Pelodiscus sinensis: one gene and its partner. The protein of the gene in region 2 interacts with the protein of the main gene of each other region in a pairwise test. Links are inferred from orthologs where the notes say so. Each region holds a gene or a part of one and is shown on either strand. Other genes may lie near its edges.

Region 1 (7,532 bases), on a different chromosome or scaffold from region 2:
CAAAGAGGTAAGATTTGAGAAATTGAGTAACTCCACTAGAGATTAGGTTCTACTACAACAATGGGTGGGAGAGGATCTGTGGCCTGTGATGTGAAGGAAGTCAGATTAGATTATCACAATGGTCCCTTCTGGCCTTAAAGTTTGAGTTCTTGTCATAGCATCTCTAAGAGCTTCAAATAAATGCTAGTGGTCACTTACCATTATTTCCACCAGTCCTACAGAAACAGAACTCCAATGACTGCAACAATGAGTAAGCTGTCTATTAAAGAACTGACAGTGCAGGGCCCTTGGCAGGTTACCAGCTATGTCAGATTTTGCAGGAATTGTATCACTTTATAAGTGCCCAGCAAAAACTGAGATGGGAGCACTAACTTGCTTTCCACATGTGAGCAAATCAGATTATTAATGTATATATTATTAATTTATATGTATACCAGTATTCTTAACTAAAACAGTAGTGCCATTACTCAGTAACACTTCATGCACTATAGCTTCTACTTCCTTTTAAAACCATGATCCATCTGGGCATAAGCAAGGCATATTTGTGTTGGTTTTACAACACTACCCGCCACCCCTTTATAAAAAAATAAAAAAAGAGTCATCAAAATTAACAGAGATGCACTAACCTGATTTGACTGTCCAGAAAGGTAAGGTTCAAAATCGTTGTCATGAACTGCGTCCTTCTGGTGCAATGAACCATTCTGAACTACAACAAAAAGTTGCAACACATTAGAATATTGCCTGACAACGTTTCAATAAAGAAAATCACCCTAGAGTAACTTGACAAAAATAAGTTCTCTCTCTTCCTTCTTGTGGCATTGTTAATAATCCCTGGAGGCAAAGAGGTCAGATTTCACCAGAATGAAAACTCCCACATGCACTCTAAATGTCACTATTGCTTACAAAACAGATCTGAATGACAGTCAGAGGATCTCGCAATTTTAGTAAACATTATTTATACTTTCCCCATAAAATATTTTAAAACCAAACAGACAATGCTTGACAAGAGCTCATGAGAAGAAATGGAGGACATAGCAAGATCTTCTGTAAAAGCTAAGCAGCCTCTTTAAAAAGTAAAGATAAATCATATCAGAGGTAGAACAGTAAAATGGTGGCTGTTAAGTGTTTAATATCCAAATAGTATTTACAAATTTTAAATTCAAGCCTTGGTTTTCCTGTTCAAAAAAGGGGGGTGAAATTTCACTAAATCAGAGTTATTTGAGACTCAGTTAATATTTGTAAATCATCCTGACTTCCACAGCTGAAAGGTGTTATATAAATAAATTATTACACTTTACTCTTAATTTCCATCATTTGTTTTGAAGCATAAGTCACATTGTATTCATTAAGTCTTTGGATAGTAGCTCAAGACTTTTACAGGAGGGCTAAACTAAAAATATTGCTACAGGAAAAAGAAATATTATACTAAAACTAAAAGTTAAGATTTCAAAGAAGTCTGTAAGAGAAAAATAATGTTAAGATTCTGCCAGGAAAATGCATGCATAATATGAAGCCTGTATTTATAAAATGGGAAAAATAAGAGCTCACTGGGACTATAGTTGTTTGAAACACACTGATGAAGCAAAAATCAAATAACCTCAACACTGAAAAGTGTGCCCACGTAAAGTGATGGGAGTATCTGATTCCTTTCTATTCTTAAACAGTTATGTATTTGGTAGCAGTTATAGTAACATGCATAACAGTTTATAAAGAAGGGCATTTACTTAAAAGACAACTTGCTTCTGAAGTTTAATTTGACACACTGTACTACAGAGGTCCCTAAAAGCATATCACATTATCAGAGAAAACGTGGTTTGCTTAAGACTGAAATTATTTAATGGAAAAACCTGCATGACACCTGTCATGATCTATAAACTCTCATTTGCCAAAACTAGTTCAGTAACAGAAGAGTAATTACACAGTAGAAAATTAAAGTTAGGTTAAAAAGTAACCAATAATTTAAGTAAATGAATCTCCTAAAGAGTAAAAATAACTAACGATTTGCTTTTCTTAAATGTTTTTATTATTAAACAGTACTGTACAATCTCATGAATAGTGACACTAACGGCATGTAAACCCTTAGGAATTAGGTTCTTTAAAAAAAAAACACTCTCACTTTTCTCCATATTTCACCCCAAATTTTAAACTAATACCTATTGGCTCATGCATCATGGCCTGCCTGATTCCTCTGCTTTCACCAGTAACAAACTTAAGTGGAATGATCCCAACTCCTGCCTTACCTTTATTATCTTGTCCTTTCGGTCGCTGCAATGCCATGCGCAGGATTGCCAAGAGGAAAATAAAAACAAGCCAGCAAGTTAGTCTTGGAAAACGCTCTTGGCTCAATGGGGAACAGGGTGGGTGGGGAATATCCACGGGGGGGGGGGGGGAGTCTAGAGAGAGGGGGCGGGTAGGGTTGTTATTAAGGGCTACCCAGAGCTTTCCCTGGACAAGGCCACTGACCGGGAGAAGGCAGAGTAGGGGAGAGTTAACAGGGGAGCCCAGGAAGGAGAACAGGGCCACTCGGGGTGGGGGGAAGCCCCCAGGCCCGGGGGGGGGGGTGGCCACCACTTACCTGAGGGTCAACGCTTGTGGCAGACATAATTCATGTACAGGGCCCCGTGATGGGGGGCGGGGCCCCTCCGCGCAAAGGGGAGGAGCACGGGGAGAAGGCCGGGCCCCTCCTGGGGGGGCGGGGGCAGCGCCTGGGCCTGCGAGGGGGCGCGCGGGACCGGGCCGGGTCAGCGTGGAGGGCGGGTCCCCGCTGCGTCCCGCCGGGGGGTGGGGGGGGGGTCTCTCCTCAGGCAAGGCCCCCAGGCACGAGGGGGGATGGGGGTGCGCTCGCTCCTCGGCCTGCCGGCCCTTCTCCTCACATCCCCGCCCGCCCTCGCTCGCTCCGCGTCCCGTCCCGTCCCCCCCACCCCCCGCTGGCCCGGCGCCGGGATGGAGCGAGAGACCCTCCAACTCCAATGGCGGCGGGGACCGGGCGGCGGTGACGTCAACGCTACAGCGCGCGGGGGACGCCGGGAAGCCACGACGGGGTGAGGGAGGGGAGGAGTGGAGGGAAGGCAACACCTGCCGCGCATGCGCGAAGCTGTTCTGCCAGCTTCTCTTCCCCCCCCCTTCCCTTTTCCCATGGCTCGGGCTGCGTAGTTCCATGGCAAGCGCCTCCTTGGTTTTGTGTGTGGGGTCCTCCATGGGCTTTGGGGGGGGGGGATGGTATTACATGGGCTCGCCCACGCCAGCGTGTGTCTGTAGAGAAGGCTGCTGACTCTGCAGTGTAGCCCCCAGCCAGGGCAGAGGCGGCCCCCAAACCCTAGCTATGCCCCCCTCCCCGCAGAATCGCTATGGATAGTAATTCCCTGCTCCAAGAACAGTAGGGATCCGTTATCGGACACCTGACCAGGACAGTGATAGTGACTGTGAAATGCTAAGGGAGATTAGAGAGGCTATCAAAAAACTCAATAATAGTGGGGGATTTCAACTATCCTCATGTTGACTGGGTACATGTCACCTCAGGACCAGATGCAGAAACAAAATTTCTTGATACCTTAAACAACTGCTTCTTAGAGCAGCTGGTACAGGAACTCACAAGGGGAGAGGCAATTCTCGATTTACTCCTCAGTGGCCTGCAGGATCTGGTCCAAGAGGTAACTCTTAACAGGACCACTTGAAAATAGTGACCATGATATAACAACAGATAACATTCCTGTGGTGGGAAGAACACCTCAGCAGCCCAACACTGTGGCATTTAATTTAAAAAAGGGGAACTATGCAAAAATGAGGTTAGCTAAACAGAAATTAAAAGGTACAGCGACTAAAGTAAAATCCCTGCAAGCTGCATGGACACTTTTCAAAGACACCATAATAGAGGCCCAACTTAAATGTATACCCCAAATTAAAAAACATAGTAGAAGAACTAAAAAAGAGCCACCGTGGCTTAACAACCATGTAAAAGAAGCAGTGAGAGATAAAAAGACATCTTTTAAAAAGTGGAAGTCAAATTCTAGTGAGGTAAATAGAAAAGAGCATAAACACTGTCAAATCAAGTGTAAAAATTTAATAAGAAAAGCCAAAAAGGAGTTTGAAGAACAGCTAGCCAAAAACTCAAAAGGTAATAACAAAATGTTTTCTAAGTACATCAGAAACAGGAAGCCTGCTAAACAACCAGTTGGGCCCCTGCACGATCGAGATACAAAAGGAGCACTTGAAGACGATAAAGTCGTTGCAGATAAACTAAATGAATTCTTTGCTTCAGTCTTCACGGCTGAGGATGTTAGCGAGATTCCCAAAACTGTGTAGGTGACAAATCTGAGGACTTGTCACAGATTGAAATGTCATTAGAGGAGGTTTTGGAATTAATTGATAAACTTAACAGTAACAAGTCACCGGAACCAGATGGCATTCACCCAAGAGTTCTGAAAGAACTCAAATGTGAAATTGTGGCACTATTAGCTACGGTAATAGTAAAGAATAAAATTGTCGGATACATAGAAGAACATAATTTTTGGGGCAAAAGTCAACATGGTTTCTGTAAAGGGAAATCATGTCTTACTAATCTATTGAGTTCTTTGAAGGGGTCAACAAACGTGGACAAGGGGGACCCAGTAGCTATAGTGTATTTAGATTTCCAGAAAGCCTTTGACAAGGTCCCTCACCAAAGGCTCTTACGTAAATTAAGTTCTCATGGGATAAGAGGAAAGATCCTTTCATGGACTGAGAACTGGTTGAAAGACAGGAAACAAAGGGTAGGAATAAATGGTAAATTTTCAGAATGGAGAGGGGTAACTAGTGGTGTTCCCCAAGGGTCAGTCCTAGGACCGATCCTAATCAACATATTCATAAATGATCTGGAGAATGGGTAAACAGTGAGGTGGCAAAGTTTGTCAATAATACTAAACTGCTCAAGGTAATTAAGACCAAAGCAGACTGTGAATAACTTCAAAAAGATCTCACCAAACTAAGTGACTGGGCAACAAAATGGCAAATGAAATTTAATGTGGATAAAGTTAAAGTAATGCACATTGGGAAAAATAACCCCAACTATACAAATAATATGATGGAGGCTAATTTAGCTACAACTAATCAGGAAAGAGATCTTGTAGTCATCGTGGATAGTTCTCTGAAGACGTCCATGCAGTGTGCAGCGGCAGTCAAAAAAGCAAACAGGTTGTTAGGAACCATTAAAAAAGGGATAGCAAATAAGATGTAGAATATATTATTACCCTTACATAAATCCATGGTATGCCCACATCTGGAATACTGCATACAGATGTGGTCTCCTCATCTCAAAAAAGATATACTGGCATTAGAAAAGGTTCAGAGAAGGGCAACTAAAATGATTAGGGGTTTGGAACGGGTACCATCTGAGGAGAGATTAAAGAGACTGGGACTTTTCAGTTTGGAAAAGAGGAGACTAAAGGGGGATATGATAGAGGTCTATAAAATCATGAGTGGTGTGGAGAAAGTGAATAAGGAAAAGTTATTTACTTGTTTCCATAATATAAGAACTAGCAGCCACCAAATGAAACTAATGGGCAGCAGGTTTAAAACAAATAAAAGGAAGTTCTTCTTCACACAACGCATAGTCAATCTGTGGAATTCCTTGCCTGAGGAGGTTGTGAAGGTTGGGACTATAACAGGGTTTAAAAGAACTAGATAAATTCATGGAGGTTAAGTCCATTAATGGCTATTAGCCAGTATGGATAAGGAATGGTGTCTCTAGCCTGTTTCTCAGAAAGTAGAGATGGATGGCAGGAGAGAGATCGCTTGATCATTACCCGTTCGTTTCACTCCTTCTGGGGCACCTGGCTTTGGCCACTGTCGGCAGACAGGGTACTGGGCTGGATGGACCTTTGGTCTGACCCAATACAGCCGTTCTTATGTTCAGGAGACCAGCTGAAGTCCACGTGGCGAGGTGAGGTTCAGTATAACACGTGGAATTCCATGCCCCCACCACGTGGGTCTGGGCTGTGGCTTTTAAGTGCCCCCAAGTTGGTAAGGGGGGCTCCACAGCTGCTTGCAGGTGGTGTGTGGCTGGAGCTCAGTCTTCCCTCCTTTCTTCCGTAGCAGGGAGCCTGTGCTGGCACTGCAGCCTTGTCCTTCCTCATGAGGTTGGAGCACCTGCGCCGGCTTCCTGCTGGGGGTGGGAGTGGAGAGAAAGCCCCAAGCCTTGCTGCGCAATCAGGCTCACGAGGAAGATGCACTTCCTCTCCCCCTCCACACGGGGTACTGTTGCTACCGGAGCTGGTAATGGTCTGTGGTGTGCGAGATGCTGGAGACTGAGCAGTGGCTGGCACACTGCGCTCTGCAGGAGCACCTGGGTTTCTTCCTCCGCACACATTGGACAGAAAATCCAGACTGACCCCACGTGGGGGAAGGCCACAGGCTGAGCCCACCTCCCTTCCAGCAGAAGGTGGAAAAAAAGCTGCCCAAGAACGCAGCTGCAGCTGTTAACCAGGGGGGCAGCGTAGACCCAGGGGACACCCACTATCTCTGACTGAGGAGCAGAAGGCAGCATCCCTTTCCAGGGCCAAGGAGATGCTGATGCCGTAACTGCTGGAGACAGGTGAAGTGCTAATCCCTTCTGCCTCCCCAGCCAAAGTGGAGCACCAGGACAGGGCACCAAAGCCCAGGGCAGGTGTTCCTGGCAGGGGCACCCTGGGACTCAGGGTGTGTGCCCTCAGCAGGGCCAGGCCAAGGCTGTCTGAGTTCCTGGCAGCAGGGTGGATGCCCAGTGTGGTCCTGAAGCAGATGGCATGTGCCAGCCAGTCACTGGCAAGACTTTACCCCACAGCCCTTGTTTTGCATTTAATCTCCAGCTCCATTTTAAAAGCAGTTCCAGCCTTCACACACAGTCCTGGTCTTGCCTCAGTTACGCAGGGCCTCCGGATCAGATCTGGGTGGTGGCCTGGCCCCTTGCGGCTGGCTGCAGCCCCTCCAGCTGATCAAGTAGCTGGGAGACGTGGGGCCGCTCCTGAGAGTTCACCACCATCATGGAGGAGAGCAGGTGCTCCAGGGCAACCAAATACCAGCATCTCAGTTTACATGCCGCTTTAAAGAGTCGCCGCCTGCAACATGCGCCCTGTGACGCCTGCCAAGCTTTGCCTGGACGCGCTGCCTGGAGGCTTTCCCTGCTGCTCCCAATGACCAGAATCTGGCCAATGGGAGCAGCGGGAGGCAGTGCGTGAGACCAGCGCAGGGCCTGAAGACAAATAGGTGCTCCCCGCCACGTCTCTCTCACACACACACACCTTCCTGCCCCCGCACCACTGTTTCTTCACCCTCCCCCTGGCCAGACATACTACTCCCAGCCCACTCCTGCACCCACCCTTTCTCCTGTACCCTCCCTCCTGGCCACACACTGCATCTTCCTTTTTCTTGTCCCCTTCCCCTGGCCAGACCCCCTGCTCTCAGCCTGTTCCTGTACCCTACTTCCCATCCAGAACTCGCACCCTTAATTTCCTCCTGCATTTCACCCCCGCCCAGACCTTGCACCCTCACCCCCTCCTGTAATCCACCTCCCAGTCAGA
Region 2 (7,554 bases):
ACTGGGAACTGATTCCCAGCTCACAATCCTAACCCATCCCCCAGCCACCCTGCTGCGCTTGCAGCTCTTAATACATTTAAAAGGCAGAGCCACAGAGGGCTTAGCTCCCAGCCCAGAAGCTAACCATGCAGTTTCACTCCCTTTAACAACTAATTGACTAGTCAAGTGAAAAGGAAAACAGACCATCCTCTCTTCAATGTGAAAGTCAAATTAAGTTCAAAAAGAAAAATTCAGAAAGAGCAATGAAAGATACATTTGATTTTAATCTTAAATTTTGCCAATCCTCTATGAACTTTTAATGTAATTTTTAACCTGACAACATCTTCTTATGCCTTAATGTGAAAGCACATTTCAGAAAGGACATCATGAAAATAAAGATTAACAATGAAGTCCTGTTAATCCTTCACACCTCAAACAACAGATGGGGGAAAAAAATCTCTAAAGACCTCAGTCTATGAGGAGCAACATGACTTCTCCACCCACCCTGAACACCACACCACTGACTTCAATGGGGCTCTGCATAGGCCCAAGGTTTTACCCACTTGTAGGTCTGAGAATCAGGGCCAAATTATTTACAGAAGCAAAAGTGCAATTAAAGTTTTAGCTACTCAGGGCTCCTCCTTCCCTTACCCCTGTGAATTTATCCCAGTCCTTGGTCCCTAAACTTTGGCTTTTAGACATTGAGCAACCACGATTCCAATTGAAGTTATGGATGGATGACACGAATGCACAGTATTTCAGAAAAATTCAGGTCCTGAAGTAGTATCCTGCAAGTTTATATTTGGCAAATCCACTTGTCATATGCCAACACTCCAATGCAAGCTCTTTGGGGACCAGGACTATCATCTTCTATGTTTGCAAAGTACCTCACACAACAGTTGCTGCTCTAGTTGAGGCATGCAGGCACTACTGCCATGGAAGTTCTAAACTAACTTATAGATCCTTATTCAGGACTCAGTTCTGCAAGATGAGGGGCACTGTCTGCTAATAATGAAGAGGAAGTATTGCAGCTTTCAGGATCAATGCCCATCCTCCCATGCAGTTTCTAGAAAGAGACACAGGGTCTTAAATGTTTTCATAACTTGTATATATTTTGCCAAATATTAATACTGTTAACATAAAAATGCATCATTATATGAAAGTATTAATCCATCAAATACAATCACTGCCTCCAAAATTTCTGCTGCTCTATCACCTTTTCTGTACCCAGAGTCTTTTCTACCTCTGAGGAAAAATTTTCATAACAAAACCCAAAACTCAGGATCAAATAACATTTGCAACCACAAAGCCCACACAGTTCTGCTAACCGAAATATCCACATATTCTTATGAGATGCATGGAAACAACATTATCTATAGAGCCAGGACCAGTTTCAAGCACACACCCCCACGAACCCAGAGGTAGTAAAATCTTTGTTAATAATAAAATATACATTTTTAATAAAACCACATGCATCTTCCAAGATCCAGCATCAAACACCAGAAACATCCCTACCGCATTTCACAGCCTCAGAAGCTGCGTTGTAAACACACCCCCACAAACTGCATTTCAGTCTCTGGAACCTCTTTGCACAGCTACAATAAAACAATCGGAGCTGCTCAGCTGAGCTTCAAACGCTTATTGAAACATCCACTGCAACAAGAATCTGATCGCTGTCAAATCAAAAGAGTGATTTCGATTTTCAACTGCCTTTGCAAAAAAGACCACCCCAAAAATCGACTAGTCAATAACACGCACAACGGTGTTAAATGAAACTGTTTCATACACCACCGTGTGTGCCGTAGCAGAGCAATGGGGGCTGGGCAGGAAGCTCTGGGAGACAGAACTGTACTGTAGCGCGTATAGTTTAATAATCCCAGATGGGGGAGGGTTTAGCAGTTTGTAATAACAGTAGCAGCAACATGGATCAGGCCTCCCATGACCCGAGTGCAGAACCAAAACAATGAGGCTGAACACTCATAGACTCTAGGCTCAGAAGGGACCATTATGATCATCTAGTCTGACCCCCTGCACAGTGCAGGCCACAGAATCTCACCCACCCCTCCCAGAATAATCCTCTCACCTATAGGACAATGTAGCACTTTAAAGACTAACAAGATGGTTTATTAGATGATGAGCTTTCGTGGGCCAGACCCACTTCCTCAGATATTGAAGCCTTCAAATACACGGGGGTTTTCTTTGAAGAAAAACCCACCCACAATCCGAACGGGCTAACCTAGCAAGCCACCAAGCTAAACAAAGCCCCCCGATGTATTAGAGCCTGAAAGGTGAACCCGGTCCCCACGCCTCTCAGCCCCCAACTGGGCGTGGGGGCCGCCTCGCAAGGCCCCGCATCTGCGGCTGGGAACCGAGGGAGGCTCCATCGCGGACTGGGCTTTGCAGCCTACAAACCGGCTCCAGCTTCCTGAGCTGGGGGAGACCAGAGGCTAATCCCCCCCCCCACACACACACACCCCCCAACCCTCCGAACCCGGGGTCAAGCGCCCTGAGGGGCTCCCCGGGGCTCCATCCCCCGGCTTTGTTCCGGGGCGCACGGGTCTGAAGCGGGGATCGGGCTGGGCCGAAGCGGGCACGGAACGCTGGGCAAGGCGGCGTTTGGGGTGCTGGGCTCCGGCCCGCTACAGCCGGGGGGGGGGGGTGGCGTGAATGAGTGAGACGGGGTTGAAATGGAGACCAGAGGGGGAGGGGAAGCCTGGGGCAGGTTCCCTCCGGGCTCCAGGCAGCCTCTGGCTCAGGCTCCATTTTAGGGCTGCCTTGGTCCCATCCCCCCCCCGCCGCATCAACCACCCTGAATAAAACCTCTCAGCCCCGCCAGCCGACCCCAATACCCACCTGTGGTGGTTGTCGGGAGCCGGGTCTGCCTGGGGAGCCGAGTCAGGAGGGTAGATGGGGGCTCAGGGAGCAGGATGGCTGCGGATTGAAAGGCAGAGGCGGCGCTGCCTGGATTGCAGGTTCTCGCTGCCTCTCTGTGTCTGCCTCCTCCTCCTCCAGTCCTCCCCCCTCCCCTGCTCCTGCACGGCCTGTCAATCCCCGGCCTGGAGTGAGCAACTCATCCCGCAGCCAGAGGCGTACAAACCGGACAGCGACACCTGCAGGGACTCCAGAGGAAAGCCAGGCGCACCGCGCCTCACAGGGGTTAACGATAGAGGCGAGGAGGTTGAAAGCAAAACGAGAGAAGAAAAAGAGATAGAAAGGAGGGAGCGTGCCGGAGAGGGAGGAGAAAGAGCGGGAGAAAGAGAATTAAAGAGTCAAAGACATGAGAAAAAGGGGGAAGAATGATTGGGAAAGATGCAGAGGTGCCTGCAGAACTGTCTAACTCCAGCCTCTGCTCTGGGGAGCTCTCTTCTGCTCTGATTCCCAAAACCTGAGGGATTCTGGCAGAGGACAGTACAGTATGCACCTTGATTACAGCCCACAAGAGGGGTCATGAAACTGATTGCAGGAGGAGAGGATGGGAGCTTGGTCCTGCCAAGGCAGACACTGGCAGGGGCAGCTCTGGGATCCTGGAGCTCTACAGTTGTCAGGATTACTTTATAGTCAGGCAGAAACTATTCTTTGGATTTCAATAAAAAGCCCCATGGTGATTAGATGTGCATGCAAAAGTGAGAGAGAAGCCTAGGCTGGACAGGAGGTTTGGTCAAGAAGCTGCAGCCAAATACCAGGCTTTCCCATTTCTCATTGTAGGCAGATATGATATGAAAGTTGAGAAGAAGTCAATTAAGGAAAGAAGGAAGAGGAAAGTCTTTCCCTTGCCTGCAAGGGCTTTAGATTGAGCCCAGAATGCACAAAGGAGGAAGCAGTTTCTCAATAAAGTGAGAAGCCATGGAATTTCTGTCTCTCTCACCCCGCTCTCTAAACATTAAATCAGTTCCCAAACTGGCAATGATACAGCACCCCTTAATGCAGCCTTGCCATGGAGTGACCACCCTTTTAACACTGAGATGGGAGCTCATTTTCCATAACCCATCTCCCTTTATTAAGATAGCCAGCAAGGAGTCCTATTAATGGCAGATGTAGTAGCAGTTGTGTGGCATGGATACCTGTCTGGTAAGAAGTGGCCTGAGACCATTTCACACTGGCTGCCAGATACCTGTCAAACACCGAGCCTTTTTTTCTTCCTACCTAAATTTAATGTCTCACACATGATTCTTCTTTGATTTTATACCTCAGGAAATCACTGTCGCCAGCAGAGAATTCCCCTCTCTGCCTAGCATGTTCCTGTTTACATTGGGATACATAATAAGATAGCAATAGAAAATTTAATTCTCCTTTATTATGACATTCATATTTGGTGCCCATCACTCTACCATGCACTGTTATTGTAGGAGGTTTCAGTACCAATCTTCATCATCTCCTGCTCCAACATTGAAACTTTCTCTCTTAAGAAGGAAAAACTATGTAGCATTTTAAAGACTAAGATGGTTTAATAGGTAATGAGCTTTCGTGGGCCAGACCCACTTCCTCAGATCATATTCTGGAAGAGAATTGGCATAACCATATATATCAGAGGAATACAATGAAAAAAGTGAACACATTATTAAACTGACAAATCAGATTTAGTACAGAAGGTGGGGTGGGTGAGAGGGAGAGAGGGAGGGAATAGCTACTTATGAGTCAATGAATGGCTAATCAGAGGTGATAAGTGGGGAAGCTATCTTGTAATGGGGAAGATAATTAGTATCTTTGTTAAGGCCTATTCTTAAAGTGTCAAATTTAAGCATGAATGAATGTTCTGAAGTTTCCCTCTGTAATCTGGTGTTAAAGTCTCTTTGAAGTAAGATGCACATAGTAAGGTCGTTAAGACTATGTCCAGCTAGGCTGAAATGAAAAACAACTGGTTTTTCCTTGTGAGGATGTCTGATGTCTGATTTATGGGCATTAATTCTTTGGCGAAGTGTCTGAGAAGTCTGTCCAATATACATAGCAGAAGGACATTGTTGGCACATGATGGCAGAAATTATATTTCTGGATGAACAGGAATATGTGTTCTTGATCATATAACTGACATGGTTAGGTAGGACCAGTGATGGTGTCACCAGAGTAAATATGTGGACAACGTTGGCAGCGGTGTTTGTTGCAAGGGAAAGTTCTGGGGTTGGTATTAATGTGGTATGTCCTGTGGTTGTTGGTAAGAATCTTCCTGAGGTTAGGTGGTTGTCTATAGGAGACTATGGGTCTGTCCCCCAGAGCCTCTCGGATTGTAGTATCCTGTTCCAGTATAGGTTGTAGGTTATTGATAATGCGTTGGAGGGTTTTAAGTTGGGGGCTATTGGTGATGACAAGTGGTGTTCTATTATTGGTTTTCTTGGGCCTATCTTAAAGTAAATGGTTTCTGGGTATTCGTCTGGCTCTTTCAATTTGTTTTTTTATTTCCCCGGGTGGGTAATTGAAATTTACAAATGATTTGGTAGAGATTTTGAAGTTTATGGTCTCTGTCAGTGGGATGAGAGTGGGATTAGAGCAGATGAGGTTGTACCCCCAGATCTCTCCCCTCCACTCTCAGGATGTTATACTTATAAGAAGCACACAGGATCTTTTTCAGGGGAAAAGGCAATACACCACATTTACTGAAAACTAGAAGATTTACCTGGCATTGCTCAGGGCCTTAACTCAAATAAATTTTGTTTTTCTTCATTTAAATCATGATTCTGGGATGGGGTGAGGAATGATGGGTTGAGTATACAGGACAATCTCAGAACTCTTTCATTGTAGCAGCTTGGGACAAGGTGAGAAGCTCCTGTCCATGGCTGCTGCCGTTGCAGTGGGTACAGCAGGGGGAGGGTTGCATGTCCCCCAGCTGGGGAACAGTGAGACACACAAACAGACAAACCAAACTTTGACTGGTTCAGGGAACTGGTGGGCAGGATACCCTGGGATGCTAACATGAAGAGGAAAGAAATCCAGGAGAGTTGGCAGAAACCTTGTTGAAAGCACAGGAACAAACCTCCCAATGCACAGTAAGAGAAGCAAATACGGTAGGTGAACAGCTTGGCTTAGCAGTGAAATCCTTGGCAAGTTTAAACAGAAGAAGGAAGCTTACAAGAAGTGGAAACTTGGACAGATGACTAGGAGTATAAATATATTGCTTGAGATGCAGGGGTGTAATCAGGAAGGCCAAAGCGCAATTGGAATTGCAGCTAGCAAGGGATGTGAAGGGAATCATTAAAGGGTTCTACAGGCATGTTAGCAATAAGAGGGTGACCAGGGAAGGAGTGGGACCCATCTTAAAAAAAGGGAGGAAGGACAATCCAGAGAATTGCAGACCGGACAACCACCCCTCAGTCCCCAGAAAAATCATAGCGGGGATACTCAATGGATCCATTTTGAAGCACTTGGAAGAGAGGAAAGTGATCATGAATAGTCAACATGGATTCACCAAGGGCAAATCATGCCTGATCAACATGATTGCCTTCTATGACCAGGCAACTGGCTCTGTGGGTACGGAGAAGGCAGTGGACATGATATATCTTGACATTAGCATAGCTTTTGATATGGTCTCCCACAGTATTCTTGCCAGCAAGTTAAAGAAGTATGGATTGGATAAATGGACTGTAAGGTGGCTAGAAAGTTGGCTAGATTGTTGGGCTTAGTGATAAATGGCTTGATGTCTGGCTGGAGGTTGGTGTCAAGCGGAGTGCCCCAGGAGTCAGTTCTGGGGCCAGTTTTGTTCACCATCTTTATTAATGACCTGGATAAGGGGATGCATTGCACCTTCAGCAATAACACTAAGCTGGGGGAGAGGAAGATACGTTTTTGGTACAGATAGGGTCCAGAGTGACCTAGACAAATTGGAGGATTGGGCAAAAAGAAATCTGATGAGGTTCAACAAGGACAAGTGCAGAGTCCTACACTTGAACGGAAGAATCCCAAGCACTGTTATAGGCTGGGGACCAACTAGCTAGGCAGCAGTTCAGCAGAAAAAGACCCGGGGATTACAGTGGATGAGAAACTGGATGAGTCAACAGTGTGTCCTTGTAGCAAGAAGGCTAATGGCATATTAGGGTGCATTAGGAAGAGCATTGCCAGCAAATCTAGAGAAATGATTATTCCCCTGGTGAGGCCACATCTGGAGTACTGCATCCAATTTCTGCCCCCTCTGCCCCCCCTGCCCTCCCCGTCACAGAAAGGATGTGGACGCATTGGAGAGGGTCCAGTGGAGGGCACTGAAAATGATTAGGGGGCTGGAGCACATGACTTATGAGGAGAGGCTGAGGGATTTGGACAGTCTACAGAAGAGAAGAGTGAGGGGGCATTTGATAGCAGCCTTTAACTACCCAAAGGGAGGTTCCAAAGAGAATGGAGAGAGGCTGTTCTCAGTGGTGACTGATGACAGAACAAGGGGCAAAGGTCTCAAGCTGCAGTGGGGGAGGTCTAGTTTTAGTGGGGGGAAACTATTTCACTAGGAAGGTGGGGAAGCACTGGAATGGATTACCTAGGGAGGGGGTGGAATCTCCATCCCTAGAGATTTTTAAGTCCCGGCTTGACAAAGCCCTGGCTGGGATGATTTAGTTGGGCTTGGTCCTGCTTTTGGCAGCAGGTTGGACTTGATGACCT

Evidence for each region.
Region 1: the proteins of PRRC2B (region 2) and YTHDF1 interact in a two-hybrid assay, tested with the Homo sapiens proteins (2 studies listed by BioGRID, with this or other methods). The link is inferred for Pelodiscus sinensis from reciprocal best matches to the Homo sapiens genes PRRC2B and YTHDF1.

Annotation. Positions count from the first base shown.
Region 1 is NC_134728.1:6,691,423-6,698,954, reverse strand, and holds the start of YTHDF1 (YTH domain-containing family protein 1), read right to left. Parts: upstream 3,010-7,532; 5' UTR 2,603-3,009; coding exon 2,576-2,602; intron 2,266-2,575; coding exon 2,241-2,265; intron 707-2,240; coding exon 627-706; intron 1-626.
Region 2 is NC_134732.1:14,401,446-14,408,999, reverse strand, and holds the start of PRRC2B (protein PRRC2B), read right to left. Parts: upstream 3,009-7,554; 5' UTR 2,833-3,008; intron 2,040-2,832; exon of another isoform or gene 1,495-2,039; intron 1-1,494.